2 linked regions of the Mytilus edulis genome follow. The protein of the gene in region 1 purifies or fractionates together with the protein of each later gene. This does not show direct contact. Links are inferred from orthologs where the notes say so. Each region holds a gene or a part of one and is shown on either strand. Other genes may lie near its edges.

The links.
Region 2: the proteins of tRNA-splicing endonuclease subunit Sen34-like (region 1) and tRNA-splicing endonuclease subunit Sen2-like purify together in Homo sapiens (affinity purification with mass spectrometry; 3 studies listed by BioGRID and IntAct, counting the BioPlex papers as one, with this or other methods). This does not show direct contact. The link is inferred for Mytilus edulis from reciprocal best matches to the Homo sapiens genes TSEN34 and TSEN2.

The regions. Positions count from the first base shown.
Region 1 is NC_092355.1:48,366,035-48,382,495, forward strand, and holds the start of tRNA-splicing endonuclease subunit Sen34-like, read left to right. Parts: upstream 1-10,335; 5' UTR 10,336-10,428; coding exon 10,429-10,495; intron 10,496-15,374; coding exon 15,375-15,512; intron 15,513-16,461. Other genes in the region: zygotic DNA replication licensing factor mcm3-like, read right to left, coding at 10,164-10,232; uncharacterized protein, read left to right, coding at 554-694, 3,251-3,467, 5,406-5,893. UniProt on the Homo sapiens protein: Constitutes one of the two catalytic subunit of the tRNA-splicing endonuclease complex, a complex responsible for identification and cleavage of the splice sites in pre-tRNA. It cleaves pre-tRNA at the 5'- and 3'-splice sites to release the intron.
Region 2 is NC_092355.1:3,466,981-3,482,668, forward strand, and holds the start of tRNA-splicing endonuclease subunit Sen2-like, read right to left. Parts: upstream 6,429-15,688; 5' UTR 6,326-6,428; intron 5,080-6,325; exon of another isoform or gene 4,994-5,079; 5' UTR 4,968-4,993; coding exon 4,782-4,967; intron 2,292-4,781; coding exon 2,170-2,291; intron 1,547-2,169; coding exon 1,428-1,546; intron 1-1,427. Other genes in the region: protein smoothened-like, read left to right, coding at 10,869-11,291, 13,353-13,565.

The sequences.
Region 1 (16,461 bases):
AACCCATCTATATGTTACATAGAGGAAAAACTATTTTGGCGCAAATGAAACGGAAATGCCAATTGGCGCAAAAGAAAAACATCGAATGTAAATAACTGTGTTCATGGGATGAAAAATTTAAGTATGAATATAAAAAGCACAATATGAATAGTAATGATTAAAATTTTAATTTGAAGTTCAGTAGAAAGAAGTTAAATAACTTAAAATTTCAGACCACATACGGGCCTAGGAAAACAGCACTTGTCTTTGAAAAAAAAAACCGCCAGAGAAATACGGAAATGATAAAATATATTCAATAACAACATTAAGAATTGCAGTAACACAGTAAATCAATAAAAATTAATGTACCTTTGTATTCTAAATCTTCTTCCATCTTTAAATGCTGAAATAATGGTATGTTGTTTTCTTAAAACCAACTGTCAAACTTATTCCGCAATTGAATATCAGTCACAACGTCAATTTTTTTCGCGGAAAATTCGGATCGACGAATCAACGTTCGAGTTAATTGTTGACGTTTAAACGGGTTCGGGAAAGCAACGTCACATAGCTTGAAATGGAGACGGCGACGTGGGATTGTACTGTCGAAGACAAGAAGTTATATATCTGTGTGAATGGAAGAAAGATGGTTGGCGACGACGGGGAGTGTCTAGTATTGGAGGAAATTGGACATGGAAAGTCAGGTGTAGAGTTATGGGTAAGATTTGATCTTTTGTTTTCAAGTACAGACTGACTAACGGCACATTACATATTTAGGCCAATAATGAAAAAAATATATATATATAGGACAAAATTGATACTCGAGTGATAAATAATGGCCTGTAAATAATTCCCTTTACCACCTTCCCTTTTAAATTAATGTTTAATGACTGAAAATGTATTTCACTACCGTGTGACACGGCTGCTGCATTGCGGAGGAATATACGAAGAAAAGAAAATGCTCAAAGGATTTTTTTTCGAGATTTTCAGCTATGTCGTAGATGTAAATTGGTAAATAGGAAAAATTCCGAATTGACTGACATACCTGATTTTAATTTATAGAAATACTGTGGTGCCGATTTTTGTGTCATGACCGGGAAATTAGATTTGAAAAAATCGCTAAGATGACCGTTAATCATTATCAAAATATAATGAAGAAATCCCAGAAATAATAAAAAAAACTTTTGACTTGTAGTTGGAGGCTGTACATCGCATTTTTTTAATTTTACTTGTAAGGTGTCATTTAATTTGCTTTTTTTGTTCCATGTTTTCTTCACTTGTTCATGTGCTTGTCTTGTTGCAAATTCAGTTTAAAAATTAAACCCTCGACTGTAAAATAAAATACATATAGTGAACTATGTATTTGAAGCACGTCTTATTTTCTTTTACCTATAGGATAATACTCTCATATAAATACGTTCATACCAACACGATTAATCATTTGATAAAAGAAGTAGTAATATAAATACGGATATTTCTTAGAATTGACGGTCATTCTGTGAATGCAGTTACGGTCATCGGTCATCGATTTTTAGTTGAAATGATACTGGGACATTTTTTGAGTGTGAACTCACCTTTGTCCAACGACTGTGTACACGTTATCGTTTTTATGAATTGTTTTAGCGTGAACACTTTTTTGTGTAGTCATTACACAAAAATCGGAACCACAGTATTTCTATAAATTAAAATGTTTTATAAAATCGCTCATGGCTTTACTTGGTAATATTTTTTTTGAAAAATATCGCCTGATTTTAGTTGAAATGAAAGGACATTTCTTTAGTGAGAACTTACTTTTGATTGCTTGATTGTCGGTTGCTTAACGTCCAGTGGCAAATATTTCATGCATATTAAGGACGAGAACAAGTTCACGATAAATACGATAGGTAGGTCTTGTCATAATCTGATAATAGAGGCAATTTGGGATGATGGTCGGGGAAATTTGGACTGCCACTGGAAAATAAGGGTAAGTTGGATAGGGATAGAAATCTTGCCTTGCAACAGGCAACCTACGGACCCTCATTGAGTTGTTGCAAGGGTTCTTAACGTGCAAAGAGCGTGGCACTCTCTTTACACGAGACAATGGATTTAACGTCCCCATTCTAACCGGACGTGGCTGCGAACTAATACATCCCGCACAACCAAACGGACACTCCACTTCAGCAAGCGTTTTACTGCCGGTCGGGAGAAGACCGAGTGACCATATTTCTCTTCCCCAGTCACCCTTGGGGGAACTTACTTTTCTCCTATGACTGTAATGATGTTAGAAGAAACGATAGTCCATAAGAAGGCATTATTTTTAGAGGGTTAACATAATTCACATGCATGTAACACGGTTGATGTGTGTGATGCCCGAAAAGTCCGAGGTATAAAAAGACAGTAGACCAATAGAGATGTAGAAAATCTTCACGATGCGAAAAATATCAATATAAGGAGATGTGGTATGATTGCAAAGGAGACAGCTATCAACCCAAAGTTCAAATAAAGTTGATGGAAAGACCAGTTTACTAACGGAGATTTATATAGATCTTTGACATAAATATCTACAGTTGTTTCCCTTGATTTCTCTTGAAATGCAGATTACACTTTAAAATAATAATTTATATCGATAAAAATATAAATCTATAGAAATTTCACTGCTTACTATTATTCAATTGTTCCAGTAAAGTTTGAAATCTTCTCAACTACATCATAAAAAAATTATTTTGAAACTTATTTCAGACATCTGTACCTTTTACACAACCGCACAATAACTTTAAATAAGTAAATTTAAACACAAGATTTAGAATAAAGATAAAAAAAAAAAAAAGAAAGGTTGGGATTGCTTTTGGGAGTTAAGATTCGAACAGTTGAGGAATTGGGGGCTAAAAAGGGGGCCAAATAAGCATTTTTCTTGGTTTTCGCAACATAACTTAAGTACAACTTAATAGAAATCTATGAAATTTAAACACAAGGTTTATGACATTATTAAGAAAAGACTACATTTGAACCGTCCTGGGATTAAGATTAAATGGGTATTAAGCCTCACATGTTACCTTTGAGCTCTTCAACAATGAGAAAAAACAGATCCATACAGAATGTTTAAGAAATCCCAAAATGACTAATGATAAAACATTAAGAATAAGAAAACGTGTGTCACCTGCAGTTTTATAGAATTAAGTTAATGTTATTAATTTAATTTAGATGAGTATGTGTAAATGAATTTTACTTTTATTATTGCTGAACTATTGTTTGAATGTAAGTTTCATACATTTCATGACATATACTCATATTTCAGTTGTTTAAGGAGTTGCAAGGAATTAAAGACTTGAAAAGAACAAGCTTTTTACAAGAGGCATTGGAAACCTCACTTAAAGATTCTACCGCAAAAGTCAAAACTGCAAAAAAAAAGAAGAAATTGGAAGAGTGCATGCTAACCATAACAAAAAGCAAAACAATGGACCAGTGCAGAGAAACATATCCAGATCACTGTGATGGGATAGACAAATTTTTAGGTACAATTTGCTATTTATTTATATTCAAGAGATACCAATCTTCATTAAAAATGGTTAATAGGTGTGATGGATACTTTTTAAACTGTATCCTAAAAATAATTTGGTGACTGGATTATATGGTTTTCTGTTTAGAATGGATATAATTAAAATAGCAGCACACATTTTTGTAAGAGTAAATGTAGAGTATTGGTTTGTACAAATATGAAACTGATAAGCTGCTTTAGGCGAAAATATAGTTTGTTATATAATATGAACTTTATCGGGGGCCTTTTATAGCTGACTATGCGGTATGGGCTTTGCTCATTGTTGAAGGCAGTACGGTGACCTATAGTTGTTAATGTTTGTGTCATTTTGGTCTTTTGTGGATAGTTGTCTCATTGGCAATCATACCACATCTTCTTTTTTATATTTGTCTTTTGTTGAATACCATACATTCACTTTGTATCTCTGGTTGAGTTTTGTTTTGTTGTTTTGCTGTCTGATTTATCAGTATCAGCAGCCTCATTAAGGATGTTTGCTTGTAATATTTTGGATTTTTTGTCAGTTTTTTGAAATCCTTAAAAAAAATTGCCCATGAACCCCCATTTTTCTTTTCATAAATCTTTTACATGTATAATTATATGCCATTTGTAAAAGTTTTATAAAATTTTATTTATTTTTTAATAGTTTTTGAGAACTTTAACAGGTCAATGATAAGGCTAAGAAAAATCAAGAGAAAACATTTTCCCGCCAAAATTTAAACGACTCTTATCTCAAAAACAAGCACATGACCCCTATTTTTTTTTTGCTTCTTCAATTTATCCCCTATCAATATATACTAGTTTTAAGAAAAGTTATTTATTTTGAAACTGAGCAGCAAACTTCCTTAAATCTCATCTTACTTTAAATTAACACATCATAGATACTAGGATTTAATTTTGTATTTAAGCCAGATGTAGTTTTTTCTTCAAAAGACTCTCAATTTTCGTATTCACATGTTTATATTGAAACATTATGTGATTTAGGGAGCTACCATTTGATTTTTATGGGGTCTAGGATGAAATTTGAAAAAAATAGGCAGGACAGGAGTTTTGAGTAAAAAAAAAGGCAAGATGAGACACTTGCAAAAAAAAAAAAAGGCAGGACGACAATTTAGGTAAAAAAAGTCAGGATAAACTAAAAAAAAAAAAAGGCAGGACTGAATAGAGTGAAAAATAAAAAGGCAGGACAGAGATTACAGCTAAAAAAAAGGCAGGACAAAATTTTTCATCCTAGCCCCCCCATAAAAATCAAATGGTAGCTCATTTACAAATCAAGATCAGAATTGATATTGACTGAATTTTAATTGATCCTTTTAAGTTTATGTGATACTTGGAGTAAAGCTTTAGATTTAGGACTATTAAAATAATATCAATGATTAGTAAATAAGAAAAGACATTTCAGCGTGTACACTCTTGTTTTCTACAAATCAAAGTGGTGATAGGATTTTCCAAACTGGTTTATTATAGAAGTATAATACATAGGAATCATGATGCATAAATATAGGAAGATGTGGTGTGAGTGCCAATGAGACAACTCTCCATACAAATAACAATTTAAAAAGTAAACCATTATAGGTTAAAGTACGGCCTTCAACACGGAGCCTTGGCTCACACCGAACAACAAGCTATAAAGGGCCCCAAAATTACTAGTGTAAAACCATTCAAACCGGAAAACCAACGGTCTAATCTATATAAACAAAACGAGAAACGAGAAACACGTATATATTACATAAACAAACGACAACTACTGTACATCAGATTCTTGACTTAGGACAGGTGCAAACATTTGCAGCGGGATTAAACATGATGCAGACTGATTGAAGGTTAAGAGCCTCTAAAATATAAGGTATTTTATAATAAGTTAATTGATGTTGTACACAGTCATGACCAACTGTTTTAATAATTTTTTTTTTTTCAGATTTAGATATTACAAAAAATTGCATTCCATCATCTTTTGTTAGTTACTGCCAAGAAGCCGTGGACACAGCGGATCTGGACAACACCATTCCTGAAGATTTCAGTCCAGATATTAACATTAACATTAATCTAAATGGAACCAATATTTCAAACAATACAATTGTAAATAATATCATCAATCATATAAAGAAACATACACTTAAAAAATTATTGAGTAAAAAAAAATATATTTTGGAATCCATTGTTGATAAAAATGATATATGTGATAGTGATAATAATGATATTTGTGATAGTGATAATAATGATATTTGTGATAGTGATAATCATGATAATACTGCAGATGATTCTGGATTCCCAGATACCTCTGAAATGAATATTAGCAGTTTTGATACTGAAATTGATTTGAATAGTATATGCACAGAAAGTAATGCTGAAACCCAGCAACCTGAAACCTCAAGTATTGTGTCTCAGGACCTATTTGTTGATTGATATTTTTAACCTTTAAGGATGTACTTAGGTGAGGTATTTGAATAAGTGTTCAGACTCCTTGATGTTTTGCCATATGATACAAGGTAAAATGTTTTGCCCCATAACACCTACATGACCTATTATCTTTTTTCATAAGACTTTATAGCTCATAAAAGATCATTTGACAAAATTTGAGCAGATTCTTGATTTTCTTTCTTTTGATTTGAGACCAAAACAATACCAATGCAAACATGAGGTAAAAGTCCAATTCAGCCTTTTCCCGCAAATTTTATAAATCAAATATTTTGAAAAAAAATCTCCATGACCTATCAATATTTTTAGCTTATTTTGATCCTGAACTATAATACTCTTCCAGCTTAAAGTATCAATTTTGAAATCTTGATTTATTTAACTATACATAAGATTGCCTAAGTACATCCTTAACAAAATTATTATTCAATTAATTGAATCATGAATAAGACTTATAAGTTAATTGAAGTACAATATGTGTAATAGTCATATAGAATATATCAAATGAATAAATTATTATCAAATTCATACATGTGATTTTATCGATAACAACAGATGAGAATATGCTCAACAGAATAAAAGAGCATTTCAAATTAAAAATGTATATAATGTAGACATTAATAATCAAAGGTTCAGGTATTGTGCTGTATAATAACTGGGATATTTAACTCTTGTTTAGTAGCTATAAGCACATATTGGTATGTGATTCTTGTTATGTGGCTCTTCTGTGTTGTTCAAAGTGTAGATCTGTAATGTAATCTCATCTCATTTGGGACCTAGTTAATTCTTGGCTTCTGAACTGAATGCATTCTTGGATACATTTTTGCAAAGGCTACACTGTAAAATGGGATTTGTTTAAAATGCTCTTCATTATGGAATTCCAAGGAATGATGTGACATTTTTTCTCATTTAATGGTTTGATAAGTGAAATAGTAAAAGACTTCATCATACACAGACAATTTTGGTATGCCTTCAAATTAAAATAGAACTAAAAAAGGTGTATCAACATTTACATGGACATGTAGGTAGATATACTATATAAATCATCAGACATGTATGAAAACAAACCAATGCACATTATGATTATATTGATGTGTACAGTTAATTACACATACTTTCCTAGTTTGTGTTCCAAGAAATTATTGGAAATTGCATACCATCTACAGAAAAGACAGTGATATTCAGCTTGTTTAAATTACCCTAAATACTGTTTCCAAATACAGTTAATATAGCATCAAAGAATTATCAATGTGGTAGCAGTGTTTGACCATTCCAGAAAAGTCAATGTGCTGTTACCATGGTCGATGTAGTGTTACCATTCCAGAATGGTCGATGTAGTGTTACCATTCCAGAATGGTCAATGTAGTATTACCATTCCAGAATGGTCGATGTAGTGTTACCATTCCAGAATGGTCGATGTAGTGTTACCATTCCAGAATGGTCGATGTAGTGTTACCATTCCAGAATGGTGGATGTAGTGTAGTGTTACCATTCCAGAATGGTCAATGTAGTGTTACCATTCCAGAATGGTCGATGTAGTGTTACCATTCCAGAATGGTAAATGTAGTGTTAATTATCATTTAATTGATCTTTCAAAAGTATCCTTAGATTGACTATTCCAGAATGGTAACACAACATTGATAATTATAAAATGACAACAATAATTTAACTTTTCCAGAATGGTAACAGCACATTGACCATTACATAAACAAGTTTGAAAACCACAATGCTTGAGTGTTGTAACCATACATACATGATCACAGTGTTGTGACCATACATACATGATCACGGGTTTAATCACACATACATAACATGATCACAGTGGTGTGACCATACATACATGATCACAGGTGTGTAACCATACATACATAATCACAGTGTTGTGACAAATAAATACATGATCACGGGTTTAACCACACATACATAACATGATCACAGTGGTGTGACTATACATACATAATCACAAAATAGTTTTTGGCCAATGGAAAGCCTTTTTTTAAGAAGAAAACTAATGACAACACTGGAGTAACATCCCATGGTCTAAACCTTTCCATTTTCTAGAATTCTTAATAAACTCTTAATTTAAATAATTTAATGTTACAGGTATCCTTATTAATCAGTCCACCACTAAGGGTCACTTATACATGGTCCCTCAAAATATGACGTCATAGAAAAAAACTGTTGATTGCACCCTAAGAAGTGTAAGGTGTTAAGCAATAATCATAAATCCTTTTTGAGATACGGCGGTACATGTGAGAACCCTCGCCCCCCCCCCTCTTTTCTTTTTTTACAAAAACTCAATAACTCAAAAATAAAATTTTGAATTGTAACCAAAAAGTATACAGATCTTTAGATTAATATAACTAAGAAATGTTTTAGCGATAATCATAAATGGCTATTGAGATACGGCGTGACATGTGAAAAAAACACCCCCTTTTTCAGTTACAAAGTCCCGTAATTTTTATTTTCACCAAAAAGTATACAGATCGTTTGACCATCATAAAAAACAACTATATTAGGTTTCATGCAATTTGTATAAGTCGTTCTCAGGTTACGGTGTGACATGATTACGCCGGACAGACAGATGGACAGACAGACTGACAGATGGTAATTTGTATACCATAATAAATGTAAGTCCCGTCATAGTTTTGACCGGCATATGAAAACAAACACGTCAGAATTGCCATAACATTCAAGTTACTCCAAAAATTAAACCTGCATTTATTTTGTTGATATTTTAATACCTGGCCTAGCTATAGATGCTTTTTTGTGATAATATACATGTACATGGTTCTTTTTCCTGGTTTCGTGAAACTACTATTGCACATTCGAATACCGGTAACAAGTAAGAATATACCGATCTTCTTATGGGACTTTCTTTGTAGTGTTGTTTATATCCTTCCAGATGAACTAGTTACATTGCAGGTTGTGAGTCGGAGTTTTTGTTTTGAACAACTTTTATTTTTCTTAATTGTCAAATTGAGCAAGAGACAACCCGACCAAAGAACAGACAGCAGCCGAAGGCCACTTATGGGTTTTCAATGCAGCGATAAACTCCTGCACCCGGATGCGTGCCTCAGCTGGCTCCTTAACAAAAATATATAGTGATTGTTTTACTTGAACATTTGTAATGTCATTTTTTCTTGTATACTTACAGGTCGATTTTTTATTTTGCCTTTAATAGAGATACTCTAGGGGTATCCCTCGATCTCATCTTCGCTAGCCAAGGGTTACGATCCACTCCCGCTCTCTTCACCCTTGGCGGATTGAGATAAAATTTCGGAGACACAGGGTAAGGATTTTTATTGGTTGCAGTCGAAACTTGCTGCATCCAATCAAAAAGCGCCTTTAACATGATCACCTGTAAATGTGGAAAGTGTTTGTAAACAATTGCCACGTGTTTATTGTGCTACAAGTCTTTACATCCCTAAAAATACGACTATATTTAGTGACAACTTGAATGTTTTTAATCAACTAATAGAAGTTCCTGTGTATGTTTCATGCACAAATGCATGAATGTTGACGTATATTTTCGTTTCCGGCTTTACCAAGTGTGTAGAATCTGGACACTACCGTCTTTTTACCTTCGAATTGAAGAGTTCAAGTGCTACCATTGGTCAAGAATAATGTATTTGGAATGGGCGTGACTTAAATCTTCCGGCAGGTGGCGAAACATTGTTTTCACAAATGTTGGCTCAATCCGCCAAGGGTGGATCGTAACCCTTGGCTAGCGAAGATGCCCTCGATCTAAGTTGCAAAATTCCTGAATTTGTGTTTATTTCAAATACAATATAGAGATCTATATAATAGGACAAACAATATACAATCAATGGGGCGTCGGACTAATGGGGTGTCGGACAAATGGGGAGTCGGACCAGTGGGGTGTCGGACCAATGGGGTGTCGGACTAGTGGGGTGTCGGACCAATGGCGTGTCGGACTAACGGGGTGTTGGAACATCGAGGCTGCCCCTTATTTAGACTATAATTAACTTCTATTGCATGCTTTGTCCATTGATCATGACAGATGTCTTTCAGTTTCAGTCCGAGTTTGAGTGATCTACTGAAGTAAATAACTCGTTCACCGATGAAAGGAATCAAACGATTCATGGTTTTTGTATCCTTTTACTGATATTACTGAGTGATGTCTGATGTCAGTGATAATCAATGAAAAGTAAAATGCTGAACTAAATATTAGTCAGTGATTGACAAATAATAAGTTATTTTTCAGGAAAGTTACAGCATCGTTTTTTAATATACTTACTCCATCATCAAGGAAATCAAGATATTCTCTCTGTATTTCTATTATTCGCTGATCTATTTCTGCTGCCATTTTCCTCGACAATGTTATTTTCCTAGGTTCTTGTTTCTTTGTGGAGGTAATGCTGTAATTTCCCGCCGTTCATGTCACATGGGAGTTATTTTTAGTATATTTATTCCACGTGGTTTCCGTTCGTAACTTCTCTATCTTTTTGTGAAACTGAAAGTAGATTTTTCTGTCTTTCTTTTAAAAATCGTTGGAAAATGTAATGTCTGATCGTTGCAGAATCAAAATATATTTACAGAACCAAAATGTATTTGTATGGAGTGCTAAAGGTATTGAAATAACATCGTGAAAAGTGAAATTAAAAAAAAAACCCACCAAAACACCATAGGCATAGGTGCCAAAAAAGTATAAATTATTTTGTAGTCTTGCACTATAAAATAATGGTATACAAATCCTTGCTATAATTAAATTGAAAGTAAGGACTGGAACCAATAAATCTATCATGCATTAGAACTCAGCTATTAAGATTGCAGAGGAAATATGTAAAATTCCAAGAAGATAAGCCAAAAGTGAACAAGACACCAACACAACAAAAACAACAAAAACAAGGCAAACTTTTCATGTTTGTTTCCCCCCAAATGAGTCTCTAACGCCTCTAGAAGTATGGGGCATTTCATTTATACAAATTTTGCTGTTGGCAATAACAAGTTTGGAAAAGAAATACCACTATATTAGCTGCGGAACCGTAGCTCTTAGGTCCTTATGTTATTTTTCGACTATTTGCGGACATGCGGAACCATAGCTTCCGCAGCTACCACTATATCAGCTAGTCTATATCTTTTCTGGTTGAGTCTTAGTCCAAATAATAATGAGGGGGGGATAGGGGGTCTGTTAACATGTTAACAAATTACCTCAATTTTGGCAAAAACAGTTAACAAAAATTGCAAAAATGCTGATAACAGTTAACAAAGTGGGTTGAAAACAGTTAACAGCTTAAATTGATCTCAGATAACAGTTAACAACACCTTTAAAAGTGCCATAACACGTTAACACAAAAAGGTATTTCCCAAAATATTTTATAGATTCTTGTACATCACAGCTTGACCTCCAAAACTGTGTCTCAGATTTCCAAAATCATCAATAGAACAAATTTTATATCCAATTGAATTTAGTGATCTCTTATGAATTGATGTTGCAAACTTCATTGAAGATTTATGAGAGAATGAAATACAATAGGAAAAATCTGAGACATAGTTTTGGAGGTCAAACTGTGTTGTGCAAGAATCTATAAAATATTTTGGGATGCAATATAACAAAGAAGCTAAATTCATTCAAGTATGGACATCACAATATAGCAACTAATTACATAACAATTAATTATGTACGGTAATAATTATGTCATAATGAAATTATCACAATTTGAAAGATTAATCATTCTTCTTTCTTTTGGTACCTCATTTATAAAATTTAAAGAAGGATCAGGGGTTAAAAATTTTTGTTACAGCTAACTAGCCCAGGACTTATTGGCAGCAGGATTTTACTAGCTCTGTTGGAAGAACTGCTAGTCCATCAAAACTGACCTGCTAGCCCTAGTATGCCTTAAAAATCAAGAGTTTGCTGCAAAATACAAAGTGGGTGTCCTTTGTTTTGAAGGAGACATTATACACTGTATTTAATCATTTTTGTTGATCTGTTGTTTATTCTTTTGGTGCTTAACCTAACTCAGTTGTTCCCATATTCAAAGCAGACTTTTTTTTTGCATGTTTGGCGCAACTAACGGCAATATTCACAGAGCATTGTCTGTCTTTTCATCAGCAACAGCCAACCTTGCCAGGGGAATCATTGTGTCCCAGTTCTGCCAACTTTTCAGGAAGTGAATGCGTGATTTTTTGGCCAAATTGTAAAGATGAAAGAGAAAAAACAATAGTTCAAAGGAAAATGCCGCCAAATAAGCATGAACATGTTTGAGTCTCGCGCTAAAGACTTGGCAGCCCTTCTGTCCTGGACACCATTAATTTTTTTCCGCGGCTTTTCCCTGTCGTATTTAGCATTTTTGTGGGATGAATTTTCAGCCTCGTTACTCCTTTCATCTACCGTTTTTCGTTTTGAAACTGACGAAGTTCCTTGGGTTCCCGTACTAAAATATTAAGAAATATTTTGTTGCATGGTTTCGTGCTCAAGAGCTGTGCAACAAAACAGGTCAATACCAATCAATACATCATACCCCCAAATACCGTTAATTGAAAATATCGGCACGATAAGCAATGTACAATACCCCAAGCCATGGTATGAGAAATCGATATTTAAAGTACGAGAATTGCGATCAACACATGATACCAGGCCACCCAGACATGCCAGAGTTATTTGTTCTATTTTTAAAATATGTACAACAGGACCTGTACAAACCAGTTCAATTCTTGGAATCCCAGAGGATTTAATTTAATCGAATTGGCTAACAGAGAATAGTGATGAAGGGATTTTTTTTTTATTTTGGAAACGTCAAGAAGTATTTTTTTACTAGTCCGTCGGGCATATCAGATTACACATTTTAATTGCCCGAGGTGTAAATGATCTAGTCCCGGGCGTCGGGCTAGTGGATTTTTTAACCCCTGAAGGATGAGTGGAATTACATCAGTTTAAAGATGTCTGATTGCAGGGATGATTCCAGGTGTTTTTAAATGGGTCCCTTGAATATCAAATTGGGAATTTTTATCCCAATTGGGATTTTTTTATGCATACAATCTAAGACGAAATAATATCATTTTCCTGTAAAAACGGAAAATGAATATTAAGTTAATTTCACCTGTATACTGATTGAAGAAATTATTGGATTCAGACTAGGGAAGTTGTAATACATGAATATCATTGCATATGATGCACTATCATCTTAACTTTGGTAAACGAGGCCTATTACAAAAACATATATACCACAACTCGAGTACCAGCTGACATAAACCTATGGCAAGCCGTTTAGCTATTTATTCGAATTTCAAATTATCTCATAATATATAAGATATCTTATGTAATATATAAGATATCTCATATAATATATAAGATATATTGAAGATATCTTGAAGTATATGAAATATCTTACAAATATGTTTTGTATAAGATATCTTCATGATCTTATATAATTTGGATATCATATTAAGAAAATCATATGAAATATCGTATAATTTATATACGATATCTTTAATAATATAGAAGATATCAAATATCGATTTTAAAATATATATCTTACATATACATTATATAAGATATCTTACAAATATACTTTATATAAGATATCTTACAAATATACTTTATATAAGATATCTTACAAATTTACTTTATATAAGATATCTTATATAGTTTATAAGATATCTAATATAATTTATAAGATATCTGATAAAGAAAATTATATGAGATATCTTATAAACTATAAGATATCTCATAAATTATTTAAGATATATCGTGAACTATATAAGATATCTTATAAACTTTATAAGATATATTTCAAACTATATCAAATATCTGATGAACTATTATATAAGATATCTGATAAAGTTTATGAGATATCTTGAAATTAGATTAAATAGCAAAACGGCTTGCCATATTAACCACTGAAATAAATCACCCATTGGGTAATTTTTCAACAGATCATCTTTATAAACTTACCTTGATTTAAATGTACTATTTCAAATAGAACTGGCCAACTGTCGAATTTAGAAAAGCAATTACAAAAGTATATATATTTAATTGATAAGATATTTAAAGCAATTGAACCAGTGAACTTTAAAATTATTTGGATTATTTACATATCTTTTGCAACAGTTCCAAAATGATGACATCGTATTTCAGGGGGGTCTCATTTCACGAATGGTCTATCATCAACAATATTTTCAAAAACGCTCAAACTTTTGTCTTTTGCGGAAAAAAGAGCAAAATATAAAAAAAAATCTTTTACAAAACAAGTTTTAACCACATTACATAACCGGCTCTTCTGGGTAATCTGCTTTTACCATTAAAATTCATTCATCAATGTTCTATCAAAATTTGAATTTGCTCTTTGCCAAGGTCTGTTTTGACACCCATTTTGACAAAAAGCATATTTTTGATCAACGTGCTGAGCAATCTACTTTTACGAAACCAAATTCTCCCATAACATTTTAACTTCAATTGAATCCGGCCGCCAAAATTGTTTACCTAATGTTGACATAATTAAATTAAATCGTTGTTAATAAAATGCGATCATAGTCAGCATTCTTATCCGGATTTTACAACATTTTGACGACAAATTATGAAAAATTATAGTTGCCGTAATCGGTGAATTACCGATTTTTGTTTTATTTTCCTGAATTGGGAATTAATATTTACAAACAATTTTTGGGGGCCGCTGGCCAATTTAAGGGCCGTTAAGCGGCCCTAAACTATATAGTGGAATCATCCCTGGATTGGGGATGAAAAATATTTGTATTGTGCTAATTGTTGACACTTCCTCACTAAAAGTACCAGAAACAATTATGATTGAACAACAACAGTATCATGAATATCTATTCTTGGAAACTGTAATAAAGATGGTAATTAAACTACATTGTGGCTATGTGAATCACTAAATAAAATGTTTAATGGAAGAATGTCATAAGAGGTATTTCTTCAAATAAGAATTGTGTTTTTAAACTATATATATATACCCTTCAGACACCTTGATTTTGTTTAATGAAATGATTTTTCAGTTATTTGTATATAGAGACTTTAGGCTTTGAAGAATTTTTCATTTTTTTTTCACATTTAATGATATTGTTATCCCTTGACGTTTTATAGTTTTCGTATAGATACTATATGGAATGGGCATAATGATTTTGACTTTTCACAGATTGATATGAATTGGTGCATGATATTATTTCCATATACATGAGAAACACATATATGCCATCAATTTATTATGTGTGATAACGTTAACATCTTATCTCAAAATAAGTTTTTAACCAGATGAAGACACCATTTCCAACTTATAAATAATAAAATTAAGCAGTAATAACTTGACAATTTACTGAAAAAAAAATCTTGGTGTTATTGTTAAAAGCATTTATTTCAGTGTCATAGTACATTCAGCAGCTCTATTATTGTATAAATTTAAACTGATTTGAGACAAATGTAACATTGATTGACCCTTGTCATTTCACATTTGATTGGGTTGATGATTTATAACATTTTGTACCTTGATAGATTCTGTGACATTGAGGGAGGAATGGAGAATTGTTGGATCATTGGTGGGATGTCTTCCACGTTTACCTCGACAGAACAACCAACTTGGGCTACCTTTACAGTTACTTCCAGAGGAAACCACAATGTTACTACAAAAAGGTATTACATTAAGCAAATAAACCCCACGATAGTTCAGAGTTCTTATTCAGTGATTTGAAAAATTTATTCTCATTGAATGATTTTATAGGTTTTGAATAGTAAAATTCATGTTTCTACATCTTGGAGTCTGGTTAGTATTCCAGTGATTTTACAACCCTCTTATTTGGGTCCGAATATGGGCCCCTGTCTCAATGAGAAATATGTTCTTTTTTCCAATTTTCAGCTCTAAAATTCTCAATTGTATATAGACATCATTGTAAGGTTTTGTTGGTGTCTTAATGTGGTATTTTGTTTAAAAATCTCTTGAAATTGTCCACAATTTATGCAATTAAAACTTATTCCTTCTCAGAATGCAGAATTTTGCTCTTAATTTTTCAAAATTTTCTTTGGGACCAAATTGCACGTGGCTGGTGCGAACTAATATATTTTCCGCAAATCCAACATTTCACGAACTTATATTCCCAATTCCATGGGCCCTGGGCCCCTTCCCTTAAACATAAGGAAAATCACTGTATTCAGTTTGTCAAGCTCTGTTCAATTTTAAAGTAATATACAACTGATGACATTATACCTTTTGACTCAAAGCAGTTGTAATGTCATGACTGCATTTGAAAATATATTATCATGAACAATGAGCTGTATAGAAATGTTTATCAATCTAATACATATAGAATAAAGACATTTTTGTTTTTGTAACTGACTTTATTAACAAGAATATCAAGCAAGCCAGCTAGGGTATAACTGTATTTATTTTGGGTTGAAATAAAATGAAATAGTTAGTAAAACTACTGTAACACGTACAAAATGTGGGGATAGTTGTTTGATTGTATGATTGTATGAATGATGAATGAAGTCGCATGCATTTCATTGATAAATTTACGCAGATGGCCTTGAACACAGGACATTGCAGCACTTATACATGACATCAGTATCAAATCCTGTCCATGAT
Region 2 (15,688 bases), about 45 Mb from region 1:
ATTTTTCAAGATGAAACATGTGAAACTACATAACACAGTATTAGACACAAATTATAAAAATTTATGTCACACATGTAAGTTCGATCAAATCATAATGGTATAAGAAGATATCAATATTACAATTGATCTTGTTAATTAAATGCTGCTTCTAACATTTACAACTGCCACTTCTGATCCATATTTTGGTGTGCAGGGGTTAGAAACATACAGAGTATTTCTATATTAATATTGAATATTTTAAATATTCTATCCCACCATGTTTTGTGGGAATAAGCTCTTATATCTACATTTGTATATATAGTATTTGAATAAAAACAAGATATTATTTACGGTTTTACTGTTGTCGAAATCCTAAGACACACCTAAAAGGACTTCTTTTGCACTGAAAGGCACCCATTGTGTTGCCCAAGTACAAACCTGGTGATACATGTAAGTCTTATTTAGAAGGTCAAATGTACGAGAAAAAATATGTATTAGATAAATAAAAAATCTCAAGTTTATAAGATTTTAAATAAGTTCCTGAGATATTAGTTAAAGATTTCAAGATCAAATGAAAGTTCACTAAACAAAACAAAATCAAAGGAGAAAATATAAATGGTCTACAATAAGAAGCTAGATTCTAATATGACGTTCTTCTTTAGCTTTGGGCCATGTTCTAATTCGAATAGAACATGGGCTGCACGTGATTGACGTCACAATTGAAATTGCAACGTCAGATGAATTTTGAACAACGCCAGAGATCAAATTGGACATTTTTGTTGGTGTTGCTCGCTAGGAAATTAAATAAAAACATTCTTAAAGTAAGTTTAAATGTTTCTGTTCTTTTTTTATTGATGAGCTGTTGATTTTTCTATAAAGTTTTTGTTCATCAAATCAAAATGGCGACATTTCGAGCGTCTACTATAGGTCCGCTTCGAAGTACAAAAGTTCAAAATATTCCTATTAGAATCGAAATAATTCTATCATGCCATGCTCTATGTTCATTTTAACATGGGTAGGCATTATATTTGTAAACATTTAATACCTCGCTAACGCTTGGTATTAAGATATTAACAAATATAATGCCTACCCATGTTAAAATGAGCATAGAGCATGGCATGAAAGAATTATTTCTTAATTAACAGTTTACAGCAAAATGACTTGAGTCTGTAGGTAAAAGTAATATTGTTGGCTAGCTTGTTTGTTAGCTGAACCTTGTTATCATTATAAGGTTAACTATACTACCCTCCTTTCTGAGTAGTCTTATCTTACAGACATATAGATTGGTTATCTGTTGGACTAGTGTACTCTTAAAGGAGGGTAGTATACCAGACCTAATAATGACTTCACAGTTCAGCTAGTAAGCAAGCTAACCAAATATATTACCTATACTTACACACTCAAGTCATATTGCTGTAATAAATAACACCTGAAGTATATCTACATACCATCCTTAGATATTTCTGACTCTTGATCCTCCTCGAGTTCTTCAGAACTATCATATTCTGTATAGAGTCCTGATGTCCCTTTTATTTGTTCTAAGTACCAGTTTAGTCTGTGTACATAACTGAAAAGAAACAAGCATTCTGTGAGTATTGTATGGCAATACATAGTCCCCTACCGGTTAAAAATTAATTTTAATGGAACCAATTTCTAACTTGATCAAAAAACAAACCTACCACTTAACTCTTCAAACAATGTCTTTTAAAATCTTTTAAAAATGAGTTATTTCCCTTTTGAACAGAAATCTAGTAATTTAAATAATAAGTATTTCATCAAAAATTAAATTCTAGGGAAAGGGCTTTAACTGACCAAGGAGAAAAGCTAAAATTGTGAAAATTGAACTTGACCTGTAACTTGTCATGATAAAACAATACACTAAATATCAAATCAATATCTTCAAGCATGAAGAAAAAAAGTCTGGAATTGCTGGACTGATGCGTGGACAGACAGACTGACAGAGTGCAAACCTTAAGTCCCCTTCGACTTCATCAGCAGGAGACTAATAAATAATTAGCTTTCTCTGTTAAAAGAGTCTTCATGGGAGATAATTCATCAAAATTCACTCAAAGGTTAATTCCTTTAAAATAACAGAATTATCCATTACAAAAATCAACAGCTTTGGAACTATAAACTACTACAATAAATAGGTCCTTCTCTGATATTTCTGAGTAATTGACATTTACTTACCTTCTCCTACTCATAATTCTTGCACTGATTGTCTCCCCTTTTTTGTTTGGAATGGCCACTGTTTTGAAGCGCTGATTAAATTCTGGCTTACTTCTGGATAAAGTACCTTTTCCAAAAAATCCCTAAAAGTAAAGATGCAAATCCTTTGAACAAAACTTGTAGAAAAATTTAAGAATACAAGGGAGATAATTGTCAATTGAAAAAGAATGTATACGAGACATTTTAAAACAAGAATGTGTCCAAAGTACACGGATGCCCCACTCGCACTATCATTTTCCATGTTCAATGGACCATGAAATTGGATAAAAAAATATAATCAGGCATTAAAATTAGAAAGATAATATCATAGGGAACATGTGTACTAAGTTTCAAGTTGATTGGACTTCAACTTCATCAAAAACTACCTTGACCAAAAACTTTAACCTGAAACATGCACTTTCATTTTCTATGTTCAGTGGACCGTGAAATTGGGGTCAAAAGTTTAATTTGGCTTTAAAATTAGAAAGATCATATCATAAGGAACATGTGTACTAAGTTTCAAGTTGATTGGACTCCCAACTTCATCAAAAACTACCTTGACCAAAAACTTTAACCTGAAACATGCACTTTCATTTTCTATGTTCAGTTGACCGTGAAATTGGGGTCAAAAGTTTAATTTGGCTTTAAAATTAGAAAGATCATATCATAAGGAATATGTGTACTAAGTTTCAAGTTGATTGGACTTCAACTTCATCAAAAACTATCTTGACCAAAAACTTAAACCTGAAACATGCACTTTCATTTTCTATGTTCAATGGACCGTGAAATTGGGGTCAAAAGTTTAATTTGGCTTTAAAATTAGAAAGACCATATCATAAGAAACATGTGTACTAAGTTTCAAGTTGATTGGACTTCAACTTCATCAAAAACTACCTTGACCAAAAACTTTAACCTGAAACATAACTACCTTGACCAAAAACTTGAACCTGAAACATGCACTTTCATTTTCTATGTTCAGTGGACCGTGAAATTGGGGTCAAAAGTTTAATTTGGCTTTAAAATTAGAAAGATCATATCATAAGGAACATGTGTACTAAGTTTCAAGTTGACTGGACTTCAACTTCATCAAAAACTACCTTGACCAAAAACTTTAACCTGAAACATAACTACCTTGACCAAAAACTTGAACCTGAAACATGCACTTTCATTTTCTATGTTCAGTGGACCGTGAAATTGGGGTCAAAAGTTTAATTTGGCTTTAAAATTAGAAAGATCATATCATAAGGAACATGTGTACTAAGTTTCAAGTTGATTGGACTTCAACTTCATCAAAAACTACCTTGACCAAAAACTTTAACCTGAAGCGGGACAGACGGACGAACGAACAGACGGACGAACGAACGGACGGACGAACGGACGCACAGACCAGAAAACATAATGCCCCTCTACTATCGTAGGTGGATCGTAGGTGGGGCATAAAAATACATTAATTATGCAATAAATCAATTAGTAACCAAATTAGGTAGAGAGTGTTTTAATCTTTGAAGATTATGAAAAGTTCTTCAAAGCCAAATTTAAGATATTTAAATTATTTTAGTTGTCCGACTGTTTACAGTATTAAAACAGTTTGTGAGTCAGTTGGTCAAGTTAACAAGGAACATCTATAAATTCCTTTGAATAGTTAACCTTAATTACTTGGGGAAAAAAAAAAAAAATAGTGAAGCTGATTTTTAAGGTATGCTGTATAACAACTTTATGCCATAAACAATTATTATTAATACAAGTGTTATATGTAAATGTACATGTATATAAATTTTACATAAATAAGGCCATTAGTTTTCTCGTTTGAATTGTTTTACATTGTCTTATCGGGGCCTTTTATAACTGACTATGCAGTATGGGCTTTGCTCATTGTTGAAGGCCGTACGGAGACCTATAGTTGTTAATGTCTGTGTCATTTTGGTCTTTTGTGGATAGCTGTCTCATTGGCAATCATACCACATCTTCTTTTTTATATGTACATTGTTTTTGTACTTATAAATAGTTTTCTCATTTATTTGTATTGATACACATTTTTCATATCGAAACCCTTGAGCAGCCATCATTTGGGTAATGGGTATGGGTTTTTTTCTCTGTTGATGTCTGTACAGTGGCCAATTAATAGAGAATAATACATGGCAAAATCCGTATCATATGTTGTATCATCCCGAGACACCAATATCAGCCCAAGGGAAAAATATTTCTTAAGTTTACATTATAAAAAGTGACTTCATGTAAAAAAAAAAAGTAGGGGTGTGATAAAGGGTAAAGGTGTGATAAAGGGTATGCGATAAAGGGTAGGGGTGTGATAAAGGGTATGCCATAAAGGTTGCAAATCAAAGTTGCGCGATATGGATTAAACAGCAAGCTATTTATCAAATATTCAAAACTACTGTATTTACTACTAAACCTATGATAAAAGTATATCTACTTCAAATACACTCAGGTGGATAGTTGTCATATTGGCAACCATACCACATCTCCTTATTTGAATATAAAGGTCCTTCAAGGACCTTTCATGGAACAAATCTTGCACAATATATAAATGCAACTTGAACACACAATAAGTGTAAAACTTTTACTTAGGATCTCACCATTTTGTACAGTCTGTCAATATCTCCACTATGTTTGATTTCTATGTGGTTATCATGGAGATAGCCTGTGTAGTAGAACCATGTGTTCTCATACTGTTCTGTTGCTATGGGAACTGGAAATGGTGACTCTTTGGCTGCATGTACTCTTTTCTTCTTTTTTGGATTAACCAGCTTGGAGAATGCCATACCAACAAATAGAAACTTTTTTTTACCTGAATAGAAAGCAATAGTTACTATGCTTGGAAAATTATTGTTTGTCTTTTTATCATGTGGTATGATTGCCAATGAGACAACTCTCCACAAGAGACCAAAATGACACAGAAATTAACAACTATAGGTCACTGTATGGCCTTCAACAATGAGCAAAGCCCATATCCCATGGATGTCAGCTATAAAAGGCCCCAAAATGACAATGTAAAACAATTCAAACAATTCAAACTAACAGCCTTATTAAACATGTTAGCTGGATCCCAACCTTCTCCTTACCCAGAACAGTGGTGTAACAGTACAACATAAGAACAAACTATAAAATCAGTTGAAAAGGCTTAACTTACCATTTAGATACAAATAGAAATACATATTACAAAAACAAAGTCAACATAGTCTAATTGGTACTTCAACTACTTGTACATCCGAATAACAAAAGATACTATATAAAGTACACCTGACGTGTTTAGGTGGTAAACTCATGAAGAGCATGTCATCATGTAACATTGTAGATTTTCTTTTAATTTTTTTCTGTACTTGGCTTTTCTTCTCTTTTTTTTAACAGGTCAGGAATAACCACCAATTGGTGGATTATACCTCAATTGACGTATAATCCACCAATTGACATATAATGGTATAGACCAATTGGTGTATAATTCTTTGTTTTTCAAAACAAATTATTCCACCCAAATGGAGCATTGTTTTCTTAAAACCATTTTATGGTATGAAAACTTGTCAAACATTCCTAGTTTAGTATAGTGACATAACATATTGCATCTAATCGATAATTGTATTTGAAGTTTCTTCTATTGTTATCTTGTCAATTCCTGATTGGCAAATTTACCTGTAATCACCTGTCAATGGACATCATTACTGTCTGCAGTCATGTGATCATGTGTACAACTCCACAGGTGAATGGTGCTCTTTGTTAATAGTTGACCTTCATTATCAAAAGTCAATCATGGTCAATAGTACAAATGTTTCAACAAAAGAATTGTTGTACACATGCATTCTCAAGAGATGCAGCAGGCTTTGACAAAACTGAAATTTCGGAGGACTCAATAAGGGTTATGAAATAGGTTGCAAGTTGCAAAATCATGCTCCTATCTCACACTAGCATTTAATTACAAAAAAAACTTGCATTATACATCAATTGGTCTATACCAATATACCTCAATTGGTGGATTATACGTCAATTGAGGTATAATCCACCAATTGGTGTTTATTCCTGACCTGTTTAATATGTACATAGCCCTTCCCCCTTTTATTATTAAACACTATTTGTTTGTTAAATGTATCAAAAATCATAATTATATTGAAAAGTTTGTCTCTATTACTTAATTAATCTCCTTGTTTTGATTTAGAACGCTTTCTTTAGCCATATGTTTATCAAACCAATATTTCTCATTGCACATGTAGAGGTTAATATTGAGAACGGATGTCAGCATTGTCACGTGATCAATGGATTAATTTAGGTCAGGTAAGAACACAGGTTGTTGGCTACTTATCAACATTTTATTGACTTATTTACATAGTCAAAGTGTTTAACAGATTATCGATTACAATCAATATTATCTTATGTTAGTAAATGGCGGGTAGTTTGATTTGAAAGCGAGTACAAAGTAGAGAAACTGACCAAAAATGTATGGTTGACCTCACCTTGGTCTTTGTTGATTTTCACACAACTTCAAAAATCTAGAAGCTATGACTACTATTGTGTATTGCTTGATGCAAATATCAGTTGAAAAGAGACATTTAAAAACACAAAAGAAACTGACATTTCTTTATATTAATAGGGTGTTATCACATGTCATGCATGTGAAGTTATTCAATTAAAAAAATTAAAAAATAGAAAATAAGGGTATACTCTTCTTAGTCTCTATGTATAGTCTACTGTATCACTAGTCTGTCAATATTGAGGTTGTGAGTTTGGCTCTAAAACAGGGTTAGTAATTTTACCTACGAATGTTCATAATACAATGACTCTCTGCACCCTGGTTTTCTCCAAGGATAAAAACTGACCCCATGAAATAGCACAATATAGTTATATTAACAGTCAAGGGTCTAACTTAAATAAGTTATTAGAGAAAAATAACATACATGTTGTTATTGTGAGCTAAAATATCAAAAAACTGTGATAACATATGTATGTTACATGTTTCAAAGGGGAAATATACAACGTTAACCTTTCTTTTGTTAAATTTTTCTCCAGCTCTATTGATATTATAATTTTCTTTAAGTATACTAACCTTTGCAAAGATATAACAGCTCATAGTTTAGAAATCATGCATAGTACACCTATGTTATTACAGAAAATATATTCCTGCAATAACCAAAGGGTGTTATTACAGCTTCTCTATCATGTCTATATCTCTTTACAGTCTTGCATAACAATGTATTTCAATTTATTGTAAGAAATGATGATAGAGCTTGTAATGAGGCACTGTGCAAGATTCCAAGTGTCTCATTTACTCTCATATACAATGTTGTAAGTTTTATGCTTGTAATAACTAAGCCTTGTTATTACAGTTTAGTTTTCCCTTAAAAGCCTTGTCTCATTGATTTACCATGGTTGATCAAAATTGTATTAATGGAATTAAAAATTAGTTATCAAGGAAATATATTAAACTACTGCGCAAAGTTTAAAGAATTCCCAAGTGCCCATTAAAGATAAAATATTTATGATATATTTAACTGATAACAAACATAATTATGTTATTACAGATTAAGGAAAAAAGAGTAGACAACTCATGAAAGTGTCTGTAATAACACATGCATGTTATTTTTCTCTGATAACTTATTTAAGTTAGACCCTTGACTGGTTAATGACTAATTATAAACTTCTTTTTTTTTGCTATTAATCCTCGCTGCAGAGCACAGCAGTATGGATTTCCACTGCAGAGCACAGCAGTATGGATTTCCACTGTAGAGCACAGCAGTATGGATTTCCACTGCAGAGCACAGCAGTATGGATTTCCGCTGCAGAGCACAGCAGTATGGATTTACACTGCAGATCAATAGTATAAATGTAGATGTATGGACATCAAAACAAAAGAATAAAATAGCATTTCAAGGCATCATATTTATTTGGACTAAGCGTAATAGCACTTAAAGTGGTGTTAAACATCAATCAATAAATATGATTAATAAATATATATACCAAAGGTTGATAATTAGATTTGACATAATTTTAATTTTGCTGTGTGGCCCTCTTACGATGTCGTAATATTATTATTGCCCTCTTACGATGTCATAATATTATTATTTTTAGAAATTAATAGAAATTTTGTTCTTAATTTTGCAATGTAATAATCATCAGTGAATGATTACAGAAAAATTGGAATATTTAAAAATTCTATACCTACATGTATTGTGTTCTTGTATTTTTAGAAATATCCAAAAGTAGTGATAAAATAAGTTAGGGTTCCATTAGTGAGGACAATAACCATGATAACCTACTTCTTTTTTCAAATGGTTTCACTTAGGGATATTCTAAACTAAATTTACAAACCAAACTCTTAAAAAACATTTGAACCCAAATTTCCAGGATCTTCGATTTTATATTACAAAAAAATATATCTGAGAATTGAGATTTGTCAAAGTTTATGGAGTTCAGTGTATATCTAGATTTTTTTGTAGGAAACTAATAGTCAGTCAGGGGTACTACTTGTACAAGTAATCTGTATTTACTTGAAGAAGTAGAAATAAATAATAATTTATAAACTGATATAAGTTAATTATAATGTTTGAATTATCTCCCCTTAATTTTCTCAAAAATTTACTTGTGTAAGTTTTGAGGTGTAAGAACATGCGTTAAACAATTTTTCTCAAGTTAGGTCATAATTTTTTTATAAGAGTTCAATGTTTCATTTCATTAATTCATAATAAATATTCCAATGGTAAGTCTGGCTCCCCTTAGTCTTGTTAGTGAAGAATGATCACAAGCTGTCCTTTGGATTCATACATGTAATTTGTTTTCTTGTTATTTTGGTAATTGTGTAGGACTTAAAAATTGGTTGAATATTTTTTTCACTGTCAAAGACAGAAGTCGTGAACAGCAATGAACAGGTATCAATGATTTGCAGCATCAGCTTATTAATGTATGTGTGTTTTCATTTCTAATTTAGTCAGTTTGAAGACTTGAAATTCTCAGTTATCATGGTTATATCTCTATTCTTTATAACAATTGAAACAATTTGAATTGATGTCCTGATGACAATTTTTTTTAAGTGCTCAAAAGGTCATAACGTAGAGGCATCCAGTATTTGGCAATTAGTCAATAAGTAATTATATCTATTTAAGTGTCATATTTAAAGGTCAAAGTTTAAAGAGAATTTCATTCATAAAATCTGTCATATTTTGCATTATAGACATGATAGTTGATTAAAGCCTGTTTTTGGATGAACGACTTGTCAATTTTTTGGCCTCTTTGAATATTTTTTACGTTTTTGAAATTTGATATTTTAGTGGGTGTTATAGCATTTAAAGTTGTTTGAATATGTTCCTCTCTTTATTGCTACAAATCCAACAGATACATTTGAATTAAACTTACTGAAGATTAACCAGAATTTATTTGCTTTGTAATTTAAAATGATAGCACAGTTACATTGTACAAATATACTTGTTTAAGAAGCGTATCACATGATTTTTCTGTGGATGAAATTCGATTTCTTTATATTTTAAAATTAAAGGTAAGAAATTTATAAGAAAAAAATGATACAATTAAAGATTTTACCCTTAGATGTTGTAGTAACTTAATTTTATCTCATGATCATCTGTAACATTGACTTCAATTGATCAGAGCTGCATTTAATATATTACAAACTAAAAATTTTACTTTGAATTTCCAATTTATATTTTAACTTCATTTTATTGTTTTTGAGTCTATTTCGAATAGACCAAAAAAATATCATTTCTTATAATTTAATTCTAAATTCCATTTTAAACCGTAAAAAACCATGAAAAAACGTCACAATCACATGACTAAATTATGTCTATGGGCTGAGAACAAAATAACGTCAGCCAATCAGAAGAAGCTTTACATCCAAAATTAAATTATTATCATTTGTCACAGTTTAAATTTTTGTTCTGTATTTTTAAGCTTAATTTAATAGAATAAAGGATAGACATCTGCATCCAATTTGATACACTTAATGTATAAATAAGGAGATGTTTTATGATTGCAACCAATGGGTCAACTATCAACAAGAGACCAAAGAATGAGAATAACTTATCACAAAACAGCCTTCAACACTGAGCAAAACAATGGAACCCATTTTATGTAGTAAGCTGTTAAAGACCCTGGTATGTCAAAATGTGAGACAATTCATAAGAGAAAGTCGACATCTGGATTCGAGATATAAATGTGGTACATTGTAAATATTTGTTACCTATAGAATTTAGATCTTCCATTTACCTTATAATAATACAATAATTTCAATTACAGGTTAGAGAATTTCTGGAGGATGGGAGAACGAATGGTGCCTGTTTCATCCCAACGTGTTTCAAACATACATGGTACATGTACAGAGAAGATGTTGGGTTAAAAGTTCACATTGCATTTAGTTGTCACAGCGTTTAGATGAAGAACTACAATAACAATTTTGTAAAATAATATGGAAAAGTTCAATAACTGTTCCATGATCCTTTATATGAACACATCATTAACTGGAACCAATGATATTCTTGTTAGTATGGAAACGTGGCACAAACATTAATATACTTGGATACTCAAATAAACCTCTAGATACATTCTATGAAAAGCCAGTTTTAAAACAATTAACAGTGTTTTGACACCTTTTAGTTAAAGTGATTCTTTTAAACATGATAAAGCTTAAATGTTTTGGTTTCATATTGTTGTGTCTTTGAATTTTCACTTCAATGTTTTCCAAAATGGTGTTAAGAGAGGCAGCATTATTACTTTTGATAGTAGATATTTCATCCAGTCAGACTTGTTACAAAAATGCAACGTGCCAGTCACTCGGAACTACAACCACATGTCTTGGTGTTACCTTGACCTTCACTAATACATCGCTGGAATTCATAGATTCTTCAACATTAAGTTCAGTAAACGAAAAATTAAAACTCTGGGAGGGTTTGAAATATGTTCCCGAATGCTGGTCATTGGTGCAACCCTTTCTTTGTTCAGTGTACTTGCCTAAATGTGATGGTGGGCAGGTGGAGTTGCCTAGTAAAGAATTATGTAAGAAGATAAAATCACCATGTAAAATTGTTGAGATTTACCATGGAGCCTGGCCTGATTTCTTAGACTGTGATGAAAGCCATTTTGAGACGGGCTGTCCAGTAAGTTTATATGTTACATACTGTAAAATTCAGAAATTATTGTGTGAATTTATTATTGCCGTCTTTATAGAATGGACAAAAATGCGAGATCAAATATTGCGATTTTTCGAAACATCTTCATACAGATATATGTATCAGGCAACAAAATGGGAGTTCTTATTATTTGTGATACATCACCATTCGCAATATTCGCATTAATAAAAACCTCGCAATGATTTCTGAATTTACAGTTTGCAAAATGATATTTGTTAATGTATATATGTGCAGAAATCTAAGTTTTTAAGATTTTATCATGCATATCATGATTTAGCCAAAGAGTGCTATATATTTTATAATGAATTTATAAGTTACATGTTGTAATATTTATGATATTAGTAAAAGTTATTACATAAAACAATAACTTAATGAGTTACATTTTTTGTACTGAACATAAAACATTAATACAACACCTTATAAATTTCATATTTTTGTGATGGATAAATAAAATATTAATATTCAGAATTATTCAAAAATTTTAAATTGATTTATGAAACACTAACTTAAAATCTGTGTATTATAGTTTTATTTAAACATTGTTAAATGAGAAAACAATACGAAAATAGTTTTCCTTCCTATTATAAAATGTCAATTTCAGGTGCTATATAATCCGTCACAATTTCAGTAGCTAAGAACTTTTCTAAACACACCTGTGAAACCTATCCTATCTTTATACTAAACATTTATTTCATAAATCATGTGGTTATAATTTTGCCATCAGCTGATACATTGTATAACAATTACTGTATGCTTGAATATAAAGAATAGGAAGTATGAGAAAGAACAAAATCACACATGGTTTAAATTAATACTGAGTAACTTTTGATGTAATTCATGCTTAGTGTTTTGATTATAAGCATATGCTGCAAATGTTTGCACCTGTCCTAAGTCAGGAATCTGATGTACAGTAGTTGTCGTTTGTTTATGTAATATATACGTGTTTCTCGTTTTCTCGTTTTGTTTATATAGATTAGACCGTTGGTTTTCCCGTTTGAATGGTTTTACACTAGTAATTTTGGGGCCCTTTATAGCTTGTTGTTCGGTGTGAGCTAAGGCTCCGTGTTGAAGGCCGTACTTTAACCTATAATGGTTTACTTTTTAAATTGTTATTTGTATGGAGAGTTGTCTCATTGGCACTCACACCACATCTTCCTATATCTATTATGGTTTAAAGGTGAAGAAAATTCTTCAACACACAAAGAAAAACCGAAATGTCCTAATAAAGTATTATGTTTTCAAGTGCATTTTAAAATGTCTTTTTCCAAAGATTTAAATGCCAGTTAGGAAGATGACTCATATTTTTACAATGGTGTGGTTAGTTCAGCGCTTCATATACACATTCATGACATTATAGTTACTAACATGGCTATTTTTAAACACAATAATACCAATAAATTGTGATCTTAAAAGACATTTAAATTTATAATATTAATACATGTAATAGGTAAATTATTATTTTTGAAATTCACCTTTAAATATAGATCCAGATTGAAAAGATATTGATGAAAATTGAATTTTTATAGCACTCACTACCAGTGACAACAGAACCCAAAATTTGCATAATCAAAGTTATTGTTTTAAAAGTCTATTATGTAGCAATATTTTAACTAGCAATTCTTTAAAAGTCTCTTATAAAGTTTATATTACAACTTTTTAGATTAAAACTCTCAACTAGCTATATATATATAGAGAAAAATGATTTAGATGTCATACAAGCGCACATTGTATGGGATAAATCAATATAAAATAGGAAGATGTGGTATGATTGCCAAGGAGAAAATTCTCTACCAGAGACTGAATGATGTATAATTAATACAAGCACACATTTTATGGGATAAATCCATCAATATAAAAATAAGAAGATGTGTTATGATTGCCAATGTAACAACTCTTCACCAGAGACCAAATAATGTAGACCATGCAAATGATGTAGAAGCAATACAAGCACACATTAATTGGGGTCAAATCATCAAGATTTTATTTTTATTTGCCATAATTTATAATTCACTATTTTATTCCATTCAGTCACAAGCATATGATTCCTTAGATTTCAACACAGAAGGATCCTGTATATCTCCTTTGGTCAGGACAGAGGACCCAGAGAGCTGGTATGATTACGCTGAGGGATGTGGTGTCCAGTGTCAAAATCCATTATACACAGACTCAGAACACGACCAAGTTCATGCTATCATTGCTGTGTTTGGTTCTATATGTTTAGTCTGTACACTGTTTACTGTGGTAGGTTTATAATGTTTATAGGAAATACATATCCGTTATTTACAAATTAATTGTCAGGTTGAGACAAATGAATGAGCGATTTTAAAGAATTATATCCCTATGTCATTGTTGTTACAAATAAACTATTGATTTAAAAGAGCTATCTCCCTTTTGTCTTAGTTTACACAAATGAACCAATGATTTTGAAGACTTATGTCCCTTACGTCATTGTTGACACAAATAAACTATTTATTTTAAAGAGTTATCTCCCTTTTGTCTTAGTTTACACAAATGAACCAATGATTTTGAAGACTTATGTCCCTTACGTCATTGTTGACACAAATAAACTACTGATTTTTACAGAGTTATCTCCCTTTTGTCTTAGTTGACACAAATGAACCAATGATTTTGAAGAGTTATGTCCCTTACGTCATTGTTGTCACAAATTAACTATGGATTTTAAAGAATTATCTCCCTTATGTCATGGTTGACACATATGAATCATTGTTTTTGAAGATTTATGTCCCTTACATCATTGTTGACACAAATTAACTGGATTTTAAAGAGTTTAATCTCCAATATCATGCTTATGTCATGGTTGAAACAAATGAACCATTGATTTTGAATACTTATGCCCCTTACGTCATTGTTGACACAAATTAACTTTTGATTTTAAAGAGTAATCTCCCTTATGTCATGGTTGAGACAAATAAACCAGTGATTTTAAAGAGTTATCTCCACATCGCAAATTTTCACAATTATAGAACCATTGTAAAAATTCTGCATTTTAAGTTGTATTTGTGTACAAAATGCTTCAGAATCATATAAATATTTCTATCTTTCCCATGCACACAGGATAATTGGAGCAGGTATGTACTTCCCATTCCCTATCTTGTTTCTATCACTTTGTAAACTTGGAAATGTTCAGACCCTTTTACGACTACATTTTAAAAGTTACTCAAATTAAAAATGCATGAACAGAATATTTCTGAAGGTAAAGGATATACTAACTATATTGTACTTTAAAATAAACTTTTGAGAAGACAGCAATAAAAGCACCGCAAGTTTTCTTTGGGTGTTTGTTATCAAAAACTTTTTAGGCAAAAAAATAACTTTAATTTATACCTTTGTTCTTCATTAATTTTATTAGCCAAACATCTGTAACAAAACCTTAACCACAAAGGGTTTATTGTAGTCTGGTTGCTTAAACATTTGTAAAATGTAAAATACAAGTGATGAGACATTTTTACTGAAAAGATCTGTTCATTTTTTCCCTGAATACAATATAGTTTTTATTTCTAACTTTATTACTTTAATTCTCACGTTTTTATTGATGTTTTGTGCACAATTCCATGAACAAACTTTTTAATTGACCTTTCGCACATTATTAAGATACTTATTTTCTGGTGTATTTTATATTTCGAAAAGTGAAGACAACACTAGATATAAGGAGATGTGGTATGAGTGCTAATGAGACAACTCTCAATCCAAGTCGCAATATGTAAAAGTAAACCATTATAGGTCAAAGTGTGGTCTTTATCATGGAACTTTTCATTCAATAATTATATTCTATTGGTTGTTACTGATGTCAAGTTGTATATTGACTAATTTTATTTTTATTGTTGACAGAACTAATGCAGGGATCCTTGATATATTTGAAAAAGGCACTTAAAGTTTATATTATTTCCATGTAGTTACTTGTGAACAATTAAAAAAAATAGTCAATAGAATATAAATAAGAAGATGTGGTATGATTGCCAATGAGACAACTCTCCACAAGAGACCAAAATGACACAGAAATTAACAACTCAGGGGCAGATCCAGTCATTTTAAAAGGGGGGGGGTTCCCAACCAAGGACAAAGGGGGTAAGGGTTCCAACTATATGTCCCCATTCAAATGCATTGATCGGCCAAAAAAAGGGGGGGGGGGGTCCTTCAAAATACAGAAAATCCTGAAACAATACAGGGGTTAAGAAATATTGTTACAGCTCACTAGCACTTGAGGTTTAAATGCTTTAGTCCCAAGTATCAGGCTTGTGGATTTCTTTACCCCTGCAATATTTATTGTTTTTTTTGACAGAGAAAGAACAAAGCAAAAATACAACTAGAAACATCATGAACATGCAACAAAATGATAATGTAAT